Neurospora crassa OR74A: one gene and its partners. The main gene of each other region encodes a partner of the protein of the gene in region 3 in a complex. Links are inferred from orthologs where the notes say so. Each region holds a gene or a part of one and is shown on either strand. Other genes may lie near its edges. The genes, in order: NCU17114, NCU04068 and NCU08299.

Region 1 (4,503 bases), on a different chromosome or scaffold from region 3:
CAAGATCGGAATAAACCCACTGCAAGAAAGCAAATGTGGCGATCCAGATGGAGTCAGTGGCACGAAAACAACTCCACCAAACACGGAGGAGACATCATCCCCGTTCCTACAACATCGCGTGGTCATGAGCCTTCAGGATCAAGAACGGAGGGTTGCTGTGCGACGGCCAACATCTACGGAAGGTATACGCAAAGTCCGTTTGCCTCCACCGCCCTCTGTTGCCCAGGAAAAGTCAAGGAGGAGAGAGGCTGCACCTCCTAAATCGATCATGAAGAGAATGACGCGTAGTGCATCTCGGGAACAATTGATAGACAATTCTTCGGGGAGTGGTGCGTTTGGGAGAATCGGACCACTTGAAACCTTCACAGCAACTCCCCCTGAAAGTGCGGGTGCTTTTTTGGAGCCAAATCCCGTGTCTCATGAAGTTACGTCCGGCCACTTTTCAGATGCCTCTGCTTCAGGAAGACCTAACAAGCGGAAACAACCTGATGATATCGTGGATTCTCCTGTAGTTCTTCGGCGCGGGAGATACTCGAAAGGGGCCGGGGGAAAGGGTACGACCAAAGACATTACTTCTACCCCAGCTTCAGCATCGCTTCCTAACGGCTCAGATGAACGTGGAACTCGCGGAATAGTACGACCACAACGGATTTACCGAAGCCGTCACGCCCTGGATAAGTTGAGCGAAGGCTCTGAGCCTTCTGAAAACGGATTGATTTCCATCAACTTCAAGCCTTCATTTGGCCTCCTACCCGAGGTCATGAACGGTGCCAACAGGTTTTTGCCACCCAGATCAGCACCGACTCGAACTTATGGCAGTAGAAGGTCCGTTGATCCTGCGGAAAACACCAACTCGGTCAGTCAAACGAACGGCGAGTCCCAATCACGGTCTCAGTCCCAGCCACTTTCGCGATACGGGGGCGCCAATGATGAGACCCAAGACTCCATGACCCTCTCGCAGAATGCAAACAAAGAAGACGGAGATGACTTGCCTCTGCCTCCGCCTGGGAATAAGTTATGATCCATATGTCGATGCATGGCGTATTTGTGTGGATTGGAGACTGTGTTTCGAATGAATTGAGATTCAATATGTATACGACGAGAAGAGTGTGAAAGAACGCCTGTAAAATGTTGGGAGACGGGTCTTGTGACTAATGAAAAGTTTGATTTCCACGAAAATATAGAAAGATGAGATAAAGCGATGTACGATGGCAAGAAAAGTCAAAGATGTCGAGGTGTCATGACAGACTGTCTGATCGCGATAGAAGAGTTATCCTTACCACACAACACAAGAGAAGGGAGAGCCACTTGGCAGTGAACCTGGGTCACGCCCAGCATTGCCGACGGCCGAGGGGCGTTGTGCTTATCTCTTGACTTGTACATTCTCTAATCAACCTGGCCCATCGGTAGAGCGAAGAAGCAACAAACGCTCCATGGTGCCAATCCATAACTCACAGGGTGATGTTATATACTGATGGATCGGTGGTACAGTAATAATACACGACCAGAGACTGGATGGAACGAGGGACCCCATCTTATTCTTGCGCCTCTCTTCTCCATATATCCAGTCCAGTTCCGGTCCGGTCCACCCCCCTCTCCAGCTCCAGCTCCAACTCACTCGCCAGCACTGGCCATTGTCTGCTGGTGATCTGCTTGAAACACAACCCGGTCGAAATCGTAACTTGGTGTGACGTGGTAATCCGTGGAGGGGGTGCTGTAGCTTTTTACTTGTCGCTGCTTCGCCGCTACGCTCTTTGATTCCGTATCGCAGGCTCCGCGTTCTCGCTCTGGCTCTCGGTCGTTCGACGGTCGTTAGGCCCGGGGGCGAGTAACGATCTATGACCTGCCCTTGCGTTTCTGTTCGAGGAAGAGGACCTTGCGGCGAACTATGGTGGAGAGGCGAAAGGGTTAGTAGGTATTCCTTCCTCTTCGAGATCCGTGATTGGGAAAAATTGTCTGTCGTAGGCAAGTGTTTCTTCCGTCCCCTCCTCTCTTCTCTGTTGGCCGGTTGGTTGGCTGGTTGCTTTTTTTTTTTTCTTTTCTCGAAGGTCCGTACGTTATGCCATCGTCCGAGTCTTTGAACTGTTGCGTCCCAGCCTGATCCCAGTCCTAGTCCCAGTCCCAAGCGAGCTTCCCAAGGTCCGTTCGACGAAGCGTATTGGGGTGTTTCGAATCGTGCAAATCGAGAAAGCCCGCAACCAAAAAGAGTTCCATATCATGCCCGTGTCGTCGTGTCCGCCGAATCAATCATGTAGGTGGTTGGAAGCGAAAGAGGTAGATAGGAATGAGGGGAGAGGATATGCGCATACCGATCGGATCGTATTTCAGCATGCTCATAGGCAGCGAGGTACGGGGACGGGTGAAGGTGTAGAAATAACCCGTCATGGCCATTGAGATCAGGCGCACGTTAATGATGCGGGACTTGGCTGTTTGTTGTTTACCTATCAGCAACTATCGTCTTCTGTTTTCGGTTTCCGGTTTCCCCATTGCATCGCTTTTCCCTTTAGGAAAACAAAGCAGTAATTGCAGACACACGGGTGAGGATGGAGTCGATTACCCTTCTTCGCCATGTTGAACGACTTTTGTTGCGCTGTTGTGGTGTGCAACGGCGCGCCTGGACTGGACTGGATCAAGTGCGGTACGGCGACGGGCGACGGGCTGGGGCTCGTCCGGACGGAGAGGTTCGCAAACTGCGGGCGGAGGGCGGGCGGATTCACGGAGCACGGTCTTTGCGCCGGAAGCTCTCCAATCGACGTCGGGTCGTCCGCGCTTCTTGCGATTGCGATTGTAGATTTTGCCTGCCGGCCCGCCGGGGGTGCGTGGGCCGTGGTGGGGCTGTGGGTGGGTCGTGTGCGCTCCTAGCTGGGCTTGGCAGGTGGCTGCCCGCGGTTTAGTGTACTTGTAGGATCGGTGAAGGCAAGGTGAGGAACAAGCTGAGTGTAGTGAGCTGAGAGCTCACCGAGGAACCCCAGAGGCCTTGGCCAAAACACAACGGGCGTGATATCTATCAGAACATCTCACACAAATTTATTGACAACATCAACACCTTTGCTGGGCTTGTACACTGAGAGAGATGTATTCAAGAACATAAATTTGATATTTGTGTACCGTAATTTCAACATGGTGACCGTTGACAGCACTGTGGCTGTAATCATGCCCGTCCCGCCAACAAGGCGCTGGAAGGGAACTGTGTAAGTCGACGAAAAGGATAGTTCCTGGATACTAGATATAGTCCACTGGTCCTACACATGCCGCAGCTACCTCTAGAGGTAGAATACAACGGCCCGGATTTAACGTTGGCTTGTCAGGCAGCACAGCACAGCAGCAGCTTATCTTGGCGGCTACGAAACAGCTCAGCGATACCGCCTCGTCTGGCGGATAGCAGTCCGAATCAGAATATGGCATTTGTTTGATTGACTCTCCATACTGTACCAAGACTGTAGTCTCGATTCGGACCTCTGCGACCCCGCCAGAAATGGATCGCGGGAGCAAAACCGGACCGGAACGAAGACTCTTTTGTAACAAAAAGTTCTAGACCACACCGCTTTCCGTGCTCCTGTTTCGGAGCTCATTAGTTCAGTTTGGGTTGCTACATTTGATGAAAAAAAGAAAAAAAAAAAAAAGTTCGTGTGTTCTTCTGCGTGCTATCTTTCCCCCCCCCCCCCCCCCCCCCCATTCATAGTGTCTTTGCGTCTGCTGTGTCGAATGCGGTTTGAAAACCCAACCCAACTGACATAAACTGGACTCAGCCCTAAATCACATCCCGTCCTCTCGGTACTCTCGGAGCGAGTCAGCGCACCATCAACGACAAGTTCTTCTCCCGTTCACCTTTGACGGCATCTCCGGGAGTCCTGTCCCCCCCCACCCGGCAGTATCGAGACCCTCCTCCCCTCATCCATCAATACGTACACTTCATCAGAAAGAGATCGACAATCGCATCGATGGCTGCCGGACTGTCAAACGCCCTCAAGACCGCCCGTCACCGGCTGCCGAGCGCGGCCGTGAGAAATTATTCAATCCCTGTTCAGCAGTCGGCGTGGGGTCCGGCGACATGCGGAGGTAAGGATCACCAAACCCTTGCCATTCGCCAAAGCGGCGCGAGTTTCTCGTCCGACCGACGCGGATCGATGTGCTTTATTGCGTCGCTTTCACCTTCCCGAACGTACCGTTGCTTCCTCTTGTCCCGAACTTCCCCAACTTTCTTTCCCCGCGTTTGCAACTCTCTCCGTTGCAACGGTCTTGGCACCTGCTTAAACCGCAGCTGTCCATCTGCCTTCACTTTCCCATTCCCCAATGTCAGGTGTTTGCTGTCGCTTCGAGTTCATGATCCAAGTTACATCCTGAGACTCCATCCCCAGACCGCCACCTGCCCATTTCCCTGTCTCCCCTTCCTCCCCACAACGGGAATCACCATCCCCGATCTCGGCAAAGCCACGCGAACACAACCACACACCACACACAGAGAGTTGCAGCCAAAATCTTCAACTCCCGAGAGCCTCGTGG
Region 2 (4,809 bases), on a different chromosome or scaffold from region 3:
ACGCTGCGGCATGGATGCTGCAGCTTTTCGGAGCTCAGTTGGTTCGTTGAATGTAAAGGGTTGGACTTTCGGTCCGGTTCCCTTTTCGTTGATAACAGGGTGCAGAATTTACTGTTGCTGCGCAGTTCGCTTCGAGGTCATCGGGACCGTCTGAGTGTCGTCGGCGGAAGTGAAGATAGAAATCCCACAAAATGTGATGAATATTGGAGTCGAAAGAGAAGCTCTCTCCGAGTTCGGGGCTAGCTACCTAGCTTATCCGTGGGTGCTCATGTTTAACATGGAAAGGACCCTGAACCGAGCCGTGTCATCATTGCTGTTTTGACGGGCATTCTCTCAAGAGTGGAGTGCCAAATCGAAAAAGAAACATCAAGAAATAGGTAAAGCATTTCATCAAAGTAAACAAAGATTTTGAGACTCTCATGTCTGCATTTGTGGAGATAGCGAGCGGTTGGTGGCATTGCGGGGAACCAATTGAAGTGGGAAAAAAGACAAAAAGGGCAGTCATACGTCAACAGCTTCGCCGCTACAGAATCAGTGCGGGGAACATTTGACAGCCAGAATCCCAAGTTCAACCACTCAACAACTTGGACTGAATACGTATTCCGGTTACGGATTGAAAATTCCCCGAGGTTTATCGATCCTCTCGCGGCTGTATGACTGTGGATAAGATCAAACAGCAGAAAAAGGCATCGTCCCATACTTTCTACTCCAAAATTCTCTTCGTTTTCTCCCTCATCGTCCTCATCCTGGCTATCTTCAGTTCCCGCATCTCCTTTCCCCGGCTTTCCCTCATTGCGAGCCATTTGACTGGCAGTGCCAACACAATCACAGCAACCAGCCGCTCAACCATTACAACTACATCTACACAGAAGATGGCCTCTTCCCAGTACGCAAAGGAGCTCGAGGTAGCTCAGCTCGCCGTCCAGCGGGCCGCCCGCCTCACCAAGCGCGTCTTCCACGAGAAGGCCAAGGGCACCGTTTCCAAGGACGACAAGTCCCCTGTGACCATTGGCGACTTTGGCGCTCAGGCGCTCATCATCAGCGCCCTCAAGGCCAACTTTCCTTCGGACGAGATTGTGGCTGAGGAGGAGGCCGCTCAGCTGCGCGAGGACACCCCCCTGCGGGACCAGATCTGGGAGCTCGTCAAGTCCACCAAGCTTGACGATGAGGCTGCCGAGCAACTCCTTGGCGGCGCCATCAAGGATGCCGACGCGATGCTGGAGATCATCGACCAGGGCAACAGCAAGGGCGGCGCCAAGGGCAGGATATGGACTATCGACCCCATCGACGGCACCAAGGGCTTCCTGCGCGGTGGACAGTATGCCGTGTGCTTGGGACTGATGGTGGACGGTGACGTCAAGGTCGGTGTTCTCGGTTGCCCGAACCTGCCTGTGGACGACGCTGCGCCGTTGGCTGCGGATATCGGCACCAATGCGACCGATGAGGGCCGGGGTGTCATCTTCTCGGCCGTTCAGGGCCAAGGCGCGACTAGCAGACCCCTGGGCACCGCCGGTCTTGCGGAGGGCAAGTCCATTGCGATGAAGCCTATTACAGAGATGTCCAACGCCAGCTTCTGCGAGAGCGTGGAGGCGGGTCACTCGGATCAGGGCGTGGCTGGACAGATTGCGCAGAAGCTCGGGATCACCAAGCCTAGTGTGCGCATGGATTCCCAGGCCAAGTACGGCTCTATTGCTCGCGGCGCGGGTGATATCTACCTCCGTCTGCCTACTTCCAAGTCTTACCAGGAGAAGATCTGGGATCACGCTGCTGGAGATCTGATTGTGCGTGAGGCTGGTGGTCAGGTTACCGACGTGAGTGGAAACCGCCTGGATTTCAGCGTCGGCCGCACGTTGGCTGAAAACAAGGGTGTCATTGCGGCGCCTGCTGCGGTCCACGACCAGGTCATCAAGGTCGTTCAGGAAGTTCTCGGGCAGCAGTAAAGCCTCGGTGTCATAGTGTACAGGTTATGGCAGGTATCGGGCCGTTATGAGGCCATGTGTGTGCCAAAAAAAATAATAGACTAAATGTACAATATTCCCCCCTTATCCTCATCAACAACCATATCAGCCACCAAAACCCACCGCGCGTCCTCTATTTGATCTTCTTCTGCTTCAACTTGATGGTCTCGCCGTTGACAAAGATACCCTTACCCTTGTAGGGTTCCGGTACACGCCACCTCCTGATATCAGCGGCGAAGGTCATGACCTGCTCTCTGTTGATGCCCTCAAGCAGGATTCTTGTCGGCTGCGGCGTGCTGGCCTTCATGCCCTTGGGAACGCCCATCTCGACGGGGTGGGAGAAACCGAGCTTGAGGCAGACGAACTGCTGGCCGGGGTATTCCTCCTTCTCGGGGCGGGTGTCGATTGTAGCTCTGTAACCGATACCGACCAAACGCAACACGGCCGTGTGACCTTCTGATACACCCATAATGAAGCGGTTGAGGTACGCCCATGTTGTTCCTGTTTTGTCCAAGAAAGATTCGAAATCGTCAGCTGACTGGCCGCCCGTAACTTTCCACATTCTCCAAGACAAGGAAGGTGTTTGCCATACCCCACATCTCTCTCTGCTCCTTCTCGTCCCGGTTCGCTACGCTGAGGGTCGCTCTCCTTGCCTCGGCGTCGTGGTCGATCTTGATGAAGTCGGGAATGTCCATCTCGAGTTGTCCTGTGAAAAAGCACACGCACACGTGCAACAAGTCAGCCAGCTGCTCTGCTCCCATCCTAGTCCCCTTTGCACTCTCGCGCAAACACCCATAAACAACGTTCTCTCTCGGGCCTCTCCCAGCCCATCTGTTGCGCCCGCTCCAGTTTCGTTGCGTATCCTCAAATAAAACACCCATCTGGTCCTTTTGCCAAGTCGATTTTACAATAGAACAAACTAACCCAACGGGCCCTGCACCGTAATCTTGCGCTTAGGCTGCTGCTTCCACTGCGTCATGTCGCGCTTGACGAAGGGCTCGCCAATGGTGATCTCGACGCCAGGAGGGATACTGAGCGGGGTGCGGCCGAGCTTGGACGGGCGGGTTGTCGTCGCGGAAAAGTTGCGCCGGGCGGCGGCACCGGCAGTCTGTTGGAAGGCGGGCACCAGGAAGCCGGGGAGTGTGACGACGGGAGAAGATGAGGAAGAGGCAACGGCCTCAAGGACCCTCCTTCGGCTTGGGGCGAACATCGTGGTGAGTGTCGTCGTCGTCGGCAGGGTGGTGGCCGTCGTCACGATGCGGAACCGGAATTGGCGAAGAGACGCGGCGCTCCAGTTCGGAGGTTCTGGCAGTCGCAAGGGCAGCACCGAGTCAATGGCAAGCCGGCCGGGTGGTGGGATGAACCGAGTGGATCTTCGGAGAGCTCCAAAAAATGTATCGGACCTGACGCGGCACAGCAATGCAGCTAGTGATTGGCTGTAAATACAACAGGGTTAGGGTCGTATCCGCATAGTCTCGCTGCTGCTATTCGCTTGGGCTAAGAAACAACGACGAACACCAACAGATGTTATTCCATCCGACATCATTCATCTCGAGTAAGAAATCTTCAAAAAGAAAATGGCACAGGGCGTGGAAGTGTAGAGTTTACTCGATGGAACATATTGTTTCACAATATTCAGATTGAATGTTGAATTAATCTCCCGTTCGACAATCGTCCAGCTTTCCGATGACGACTTTACGGATGCCAACCTCACGATAGTCATCACCACCCAGAACACCCGTCACGGTCGAAGTCTTCCAAACTGTCTCAAGCGAGCTGTTTGCACTTTCTCGATACCGGATGAAAAGATGCAGATTCCAGTGATGTCAAGACAAGTGGTCTACAGCCCAAATCTTTGTCTAGGCTCGCTTCTGTTGGAGAGGACAGCGTCACATCAGACGATTAAGAACCAGCAAAAGTCGAGCTCGGCAGACAATCACAGTCATATTCGATGCGAACTTCAAGTGAAGTCATTTCACACGAAACCTTTTCGCGGTTTCACAATCCTGTGATTCTTGTCCCGCTAAATTCAAGTCCGCTTCTCTTATCCTGGGCAGTCGCGATCGCCAACTTACCCTCATACACCTTCCTTCCTTCCCTCTCTTGAATCGCTCCTTCTCTTCAAAAACACCACAGAATTTTCAGTTGCATGGCCACAAACTTCGATCGCCAAAATTGCACTACCAATATTGCCAGAATCTCCATTTCTTACTGCCGAAGTCCCTTCGACGGCACTCTTCTGGACGCATCTGACTTTATCAGTATATCATCATCAGCCTGTCGCATTGCACTTACATGACAACTATGGCCAGGAAGCTTCTCTTCACGGCTCTCTGTGCCGTTACAGCTACACCTTCTCTGGCCTTTTCGTGGGGAGGTGAAAGAAAAGTGGCAGTTCGTAAGTAATATCAGAGCACTGCCTGCAGGGCTTGACTAATAATATGACCGCAACACAGCCGACCATCAAGTCAACATCGACCGCAACATCCAGCCTTCGGATCTGCTTCGAGCGTCCTCACGCCTACCAAATATCTACGCCGTCGCCCTAAGTGAACTTCAAGAACTCGAATCAGAACCGTTTTGCCATCGTGTGGCCGCCCGACTCCTAGTCAACAACTGCCAGCTGGTAGACGGAAAGAACGACGCCACAATCCTCACAGACACTGGTCGGCAAGTTCGCGACTTTGTTGATTCCTACGCTGCCAGTCTAGCGATATGTGATTTGGAGCGAGGCAGGTTCAATATCCCGGCGCAATGTGCCAAGTTCCGTGAACCGGCCCTGAGTCAGATTGCGATCCGGGACCAAGCACAACTCCACGTCAGCAGTCATGAAATCGATCACTGCCTGTCA
Region 3 (4,809 bases):
GTATGAACGCAAGAAGAATAGTAGACTGGAGAGGGAGAAGAGGATGGCGGAGGAGAGGCAGAGGAGGAAGGTTAGGCTAGGGATCGACGGTAAGTTGGGCGAGGGTGATCACTTCAGTTGAGCTGAGCGAGCGCGTTGTGTCTCTTCTTTTTGTTGATTTGGGAGGCGAGTGATTCTCTGTGGGTTACTCTTTGGTGATGGAGATGGTAGGAATGGGTTATGACTCATGAGATGGATGACGATGAATGAGATGACGGATGGTTATACCCCAAAATGAGGATGAAGAGGATAGACAATGCCGAAGAGATTAAGAGATGAGTAACAGAAACTTAATGTGTGTTTTTTTAACCAGTAGGAGAAAACCTACGCGCACTCCATGTTCTCCTTGGTGCACCCTATTATCTTAGACCACTGTACCTTAACAATATGCCAATTCTATAGTTGTCAAAGTCTCCTTCATTGATCCCTTTGCATCAGGTCGCAAGTTCTGATGAACGTGTTTTTGGAAACGTCGTGACAAAGTACCAGGAGGGGGTGAGAAAGTGAGGACGCAACTACAGAGAGAACAGTCCACATTTCATCTCCCCTCTCACCAACTTCATCTTCCTCTCACGTATAAGATAAACAAGAGCAATGTGAAGAAAGCACAAGGCAAAATAGATACTAAACAACCTCTAGTTTGGATGAATGGAAGGCGCGCAAGCTTGGGAGGAACTTCCAGGCTCGATCTCGTCGTCCGGTCTTTTACTCTTGCCGGTTGCGTATTCCCATTTCTTCCTTTACGATGCTTGTTATACAAAACAAGGGCTTACACATCCTGGAATTGTACAATGCGTGTAAATTGCGTAGTACCATATTCTCTCTTACACAGCCTTCTCCTCATGCCAGAGCAGTCAATACGTAGAGGAAGGATTTATCATGTCATGTACTTCGTTGATGCCTCGTAAAAAATTTGACTTCTTAATGCTACACATACAGACGATGATCTTCCTTCTCCCTGGCCTCGGCTACTTTTTTGGTATTATACACTGAGAAAGAAGGACACAGATGCCACCCCGACGAGGGTTGTGTCTCTCTTTGTCGAAAGCAGAGCCAAGCAGCCACCATCCAGACCCTCTTCATTCCCCGTTCCGTCCCAACCCCCCTTTGTATTGGTATATGTGGCGGGGGTGTGCGTGTGTGTACATGTATGTCCGTTGCGCGCAAATCTGTATACAACATCTCGTCTTTGGCAAAAAGAGCAAGAAACAATGGAAGGAAAGGGAGTGACTGGATGGGAGAGGACCATCCATTTAATATCCCCTTCCTTCGCAGGACGGAAATTGCCCGCTCTCAACAGGACAGGACAAGAGTGGAAAGGTAAGCTGAGCTTTTAGACCACACCAACAAAATCCACTCGTTGTTTTGTTTCCCTCTCGATCCTCTTGCGTCGATTTCCACAAGGGGAACCTATCCCGAGTTGATGGGCCGCACAACCAATAAAACCGAGAGTGTAAGCAGGCCATCTGCGACTCTCTTTTTACCTTTCGTTTCATACACTTCCTAAGTTCTCTACTGCCCTGCCGTACTGTCCGCCGCCATGCTCCGTGTTTCAGCCTCCTCATTTAGCGGGAGATAACCTCACCCATATCAATGTATGCTGGCGTCCAGGGCTTGGCACCCTCCTCCAGCATATCACTGGGTACCCGAGGGTTCTCGCCAGGGCTGTAGAGATACCAAGCCTTCAGGGCGTTCATGGCGGCCTTGAAGCGGGCGTGGTCGAGAGAGGAGGCGGCGCCCTCGCCGAGCTTGTCGCTGCCGCTGTATATACCGACAACAAAAACGGGGGTGCGCGACTGGCGACCCGTCTCGGAGAGGAGACGAGCCACGGGGGGCTCGAAATCCTCACGGGCGCAGAGCGCGGCGAGCTCGCGGGTGGGGTACTTGAATTCGAAGAGCTTGGCAATGTCGAGGGTGCGCGACATGATGTGCGCCTTGACAAAGGCCTTGGCGGCCTCGCGGCCGCAGTGGGCGTAGATGGCACCGACGACGGCGCGCACAAAGTAGGCGTGGGCCCGCTCAGCAGCGGCCCGGGTGTCGGGGTTGCCGTAGCGGTCGTAGCTCACGTCCTGGTCCTGCTCATTAGCGACCATCTCGGCCTCCTCCTCGTCGGGAGTCTTGTCCTGATCCTGCTCTTCCATCGCCTTCTCCAGATCGGCGGCAACCTTGGGGTCGCTGCGCACGACATCACCAAAGTCGTCGTCGAGAACGACACGCGAGGCCATACCGCGACGCCACTTGAACTTCTCGAGGTAGGCGAGCTCTGTACGCTTGTAGCCGAAATTTGTGATGGCGACGCCGGGCTTAAGGGCATCGAACTGCAGAAGACCGGGATCCACCTCGCCGCCGGGCACCGCGGCGGTATCAACACCCCATGACCGCGCAATCTGGAGCAAGGGCTTCGGTCCGGCATAAGCCTTCATGGCACTGAAGAGAATTCCCTGGGGTAGACGGGGGTATTTGCAGAGGAGCCATTCGGCAATATGGTAGTTGATGAGGGTCTGGCCAACGAAGGCGAGGTTGGCGTTGTTGAACTGCGGGTTCTCGTCGGCCGAGGCGTCGACCAGTGTCCTTGCCAATGTCTGTAAGGGGATCTTGGGAGAAAGATTCAAACGGGCGTGGAGGGCGGCCAGTTTGGCCGAGGTCAAGGCCCGTTCGGGGAGGGGCGACGGTAGGGACTCGGCCGCGGGGGGGAGGGGCTCAAGCGGGGGGAACCGATCATTGTTGAGATCGTGGGATGCATCGTGCTGAGCGAGGGCAGCTGTCGATTGCGATCGCACCGAGATTGCAGATCGGGATCGGATGGCGGCAGTGGCGGGCGACACTCCGGAGCGAGCGGCGACGAGCAGCCGGCTCGTCAAGCTGGGCGTTGCTATCCTCTTCATGGGCGATATATTTGATGGGTGATGGTCGGCTCGACAACCGGGTGTTGACGTGCTGGGGCCCAGGTTCCGTAAGTGTGCGCCGTCTGGAGGCCCTGCCAAGAAAAGGATGGAGTGAGGGAAATCGGACGGGCAGGTGGTGAGCCGGTGGTCGCGGGGTGGGAAGCTACTCGGGATCCCGGTCGGAGTCGCGCGTTGATCGGATGGGTTCTCGTTCAGACTCGGCCGGCCGTCGAACACGGGTAGAAAAAAAAAGTTCTCCAATCTGAACGCTCACCACCCGTACACTAGACAAGCCCACCACCCAGAGCCGTGAATCAGTGCTCAAGCGCAGGGGTTACTCCCCCAAGACCGAGACATAAAAGCCGGCTGACATGATTCGTTGTTGGCCCAGTGAGGGTCCCCACAAGATCCATCTTCGACCCCAATCCACTATCTGCGCTGTCTGTTTAGCATACGGTGCACTGTGGTGGACAAGCGGGAGCTGCCCGCCCGCCGCCCGCCGCCCGTCTGTCGCATGCGCCCTCGGCCCCAGTTAGGACGAGTGACATGGTGACTTTCAGGCCTGGATGGTTGATGCGATTTAGCCCCTCGTCAGCCTGTAGGCGGATTCATCATTCGTCCTTCTATCCAATTGTTCCCGCTGAAGCATCACCACTATTGTGCCGTCGTTCGCAGTGCATCGCAAAGTTGACAGTACAAACCGATCTTGCTTAACTGCGAGGTGGAAAGAATCATTCCTCGTTGAACGTCCAACCTACCTCACCACATATCCCAAAACTTCATCACAATGGTGCGTATCCACCCGATTGCTTAGAATAGCCATCATCACTACTATGTTTTGTGTCTGCTAACTCTCTATTTTTCCTGTCTATAGGGCGGCGGTCCCCAAGTTCCGTGAGTTTCATCGCCCTCGACATGCGCAAACCCTCCGCGCATTCTGTCCAACCCAGCCTGCGTTGTGTCATGGATCCGTCCTAATCGTTGCCTCGCCCTTCACTCCAGCTACCCCAAACACGTCTGGTCGCCTTCGGGTGGTTGGTACGCCCAGCCGGCCAACTGGAAGAAGAACACGGCTGTTCTCGGTGGCGTCGTCTTCCTCATCACTGCCGCAGTCTGGAAGCTTAGCGCCGAGAAAGAGTACCGTCACAAGATGCCCGAGCCTGGTCGCTTTTATCCCAGCAGATAGTATGTCCTGGCAGACAGACCCCCATCCAAATTTTTATACATGCGTAACGTTTTCCGCGAGCGCAGACCGCGGGGATGTTCTTAAGCTGACGCAACCGATATTACCTCCACTAGCTGGAGCAGACAGATTATCGAGTATGAGCGGGCGCAAAAGGAGAACGGGACGACACAGGAGAAAAAGTAAATTTGGGCATAGGCCCTGCCACCCCGGCCGTTTGGTCATACAGTACATGGCTTCCAAAGGCTTGATGGAATAACAGGACATCTTGGCTTGGTTGAGGCCGGCCGGTTGGTGGTAGTAATGCAATATTCGGAATACATTCAACGTCGGTTACCCTCCGCTGGCCGTCTTGCGTTGGTGCTCCAGAGCCTGGCTACGTCGTGAATAAAGCTAACTTTGATGTGGATCAGTTCTGTAATGGATTATAGAGGAAACTACCTCTATTCTTACCGTTTCGTACTATTGGCGAATACTAGTGAACTCACAGAGAAGAGCCCACCTTCCATGACTTTGAATCGTGAACATGCCTTAACAATGTTCTTCGCATGTTTTGGTGTAAACGCAAGCAACAAGGTAAGCTGCTGTGGAAACCTCGACTGTCTATTTAATCGAGGTGGGCCTCGGCGGACCTCAGTTCCTGGCTGTGCGGAGCTTTTCGGTCGGTTCATGACTCGGCATCAAGACAGCGGACACGGCGAC

Evidence for each region.
Region 1: NCU08299 (region 3) and NCU17114 share a complex: the UniProt entries of both Saccharomyces cerevisiae proteins name them as parts of the mitochondrial large ribosomal subunit. The link is inferred for Neurospora crassa OR74A from reciprocal best matches to the Saccharomyces cerevisiae genes MRPL3 and MRPL39.
Region 2: NCU08299 (region 3) and NCU04068 share a complex: the UniProt entries of both Saccharomyces cerevisiae proteins name them as parts of the mitochondrial large ribosomal subunit. The link is inferred for Neurospora crassa OR74A from reciprocal best matches to the Saccharomyces cerevisiae genes MRPL3 and MRPL6.

What each region holds. Positions count from the first base shown.
Region 1 is NC_026506.1:2,292,251-2,296,753, reverse strand, and holds NCU17114 (hypothetical protein), read right to left. Parts: upstream 2,860-4,503; 5' UTR 2,571-2,859; coding exon 2,558-2,570; intron 2,427-2,557; coding exon 2,310-2,426; intron 1,887-2,309; coding exon 1,837-1,886; 3' UTR 1,331-1,836; downstream 1-1,330. Other genes in the region: NCU03974 (hypothetical protein), read left to right, coding at 1-1,021; ala (alanine aminotransferase), read left to right, coding at 3,942-4,059. UniProt on the Saccharomyces cerevisiae protein: Component of the mitochondrial ribosome (mitoribosome), a dedicated translation machinery responsible for the synthesis of mitochondrial genome-encoded proteins, including at least some of the essential transmembrane subunits of the mitochondrial respiratory chain.
Region 2 is NC_026506.1:2,634,440-2,639,248, reverse strand, and holds NCU04068 (mitochondrial 54S ribosomal protein YmL16), read right to left. Parts: upstream 3,354-4,809; 5' UTR 3,169-3,353; coding exon 2,883-3,168; intron 2,665-2,882; coding exon 2,551-2,664; intron 2,460-2,550; coding exon 2,092-2,459; 3' UTR 1,941-2,091; coding exon of another isoform or gene 654-1,940; 3' UTR 547-653; downstream 1-546. Other genes in the region: NCU04069 (3'-phosphoadenosine 5'-phosphatase), read left to right, coding at 654-1,940; NCU04067 (hypothetical protein), read left to right, coding at 4,263-4,356, 4,415-4,809. UniProt on the Saccharomyces cerevisiae protein: Component of the mitochondrial ribosome (mitoribosome), a dedicated translation machinery responsible for the synthesis of mitochondrial genome-encoded proteins, including at least some of the essential transmembrane subunits of the mitochondrial respiratory chain.
Region 3 is NC_026504.1:2,488,009-2,492,817, reverse strand, and holds NCU08299 (mitochondrial 54S ribosomal protein YmL3), read right to left. Parts: upstream 3,215-4,809; 5' UTR 2,925-3,214; coding exon 1,605-2,924; 3' UTR 826-1,604; downstream 1-825. Other genes in the region: NCU08298 (cytosolic phospholipase A2 zeta), read left to right, coding at 1-121; NCU08300 (uncharacterized protein), read left to right, coding at 3,712-3,714, 3,799-3,818, 3,927-4,109, 4,224-4,293. UniProt on the Saccharomyces cerevisiae protein: Component of the mitochondrial ribosome (mitoribosome), a dedicated translation machinery responsible for the synthesis of mitochondrial genome-encoded proteins, including at least some of the essential transmembrane subunits of the mitochondrial respiratory chain.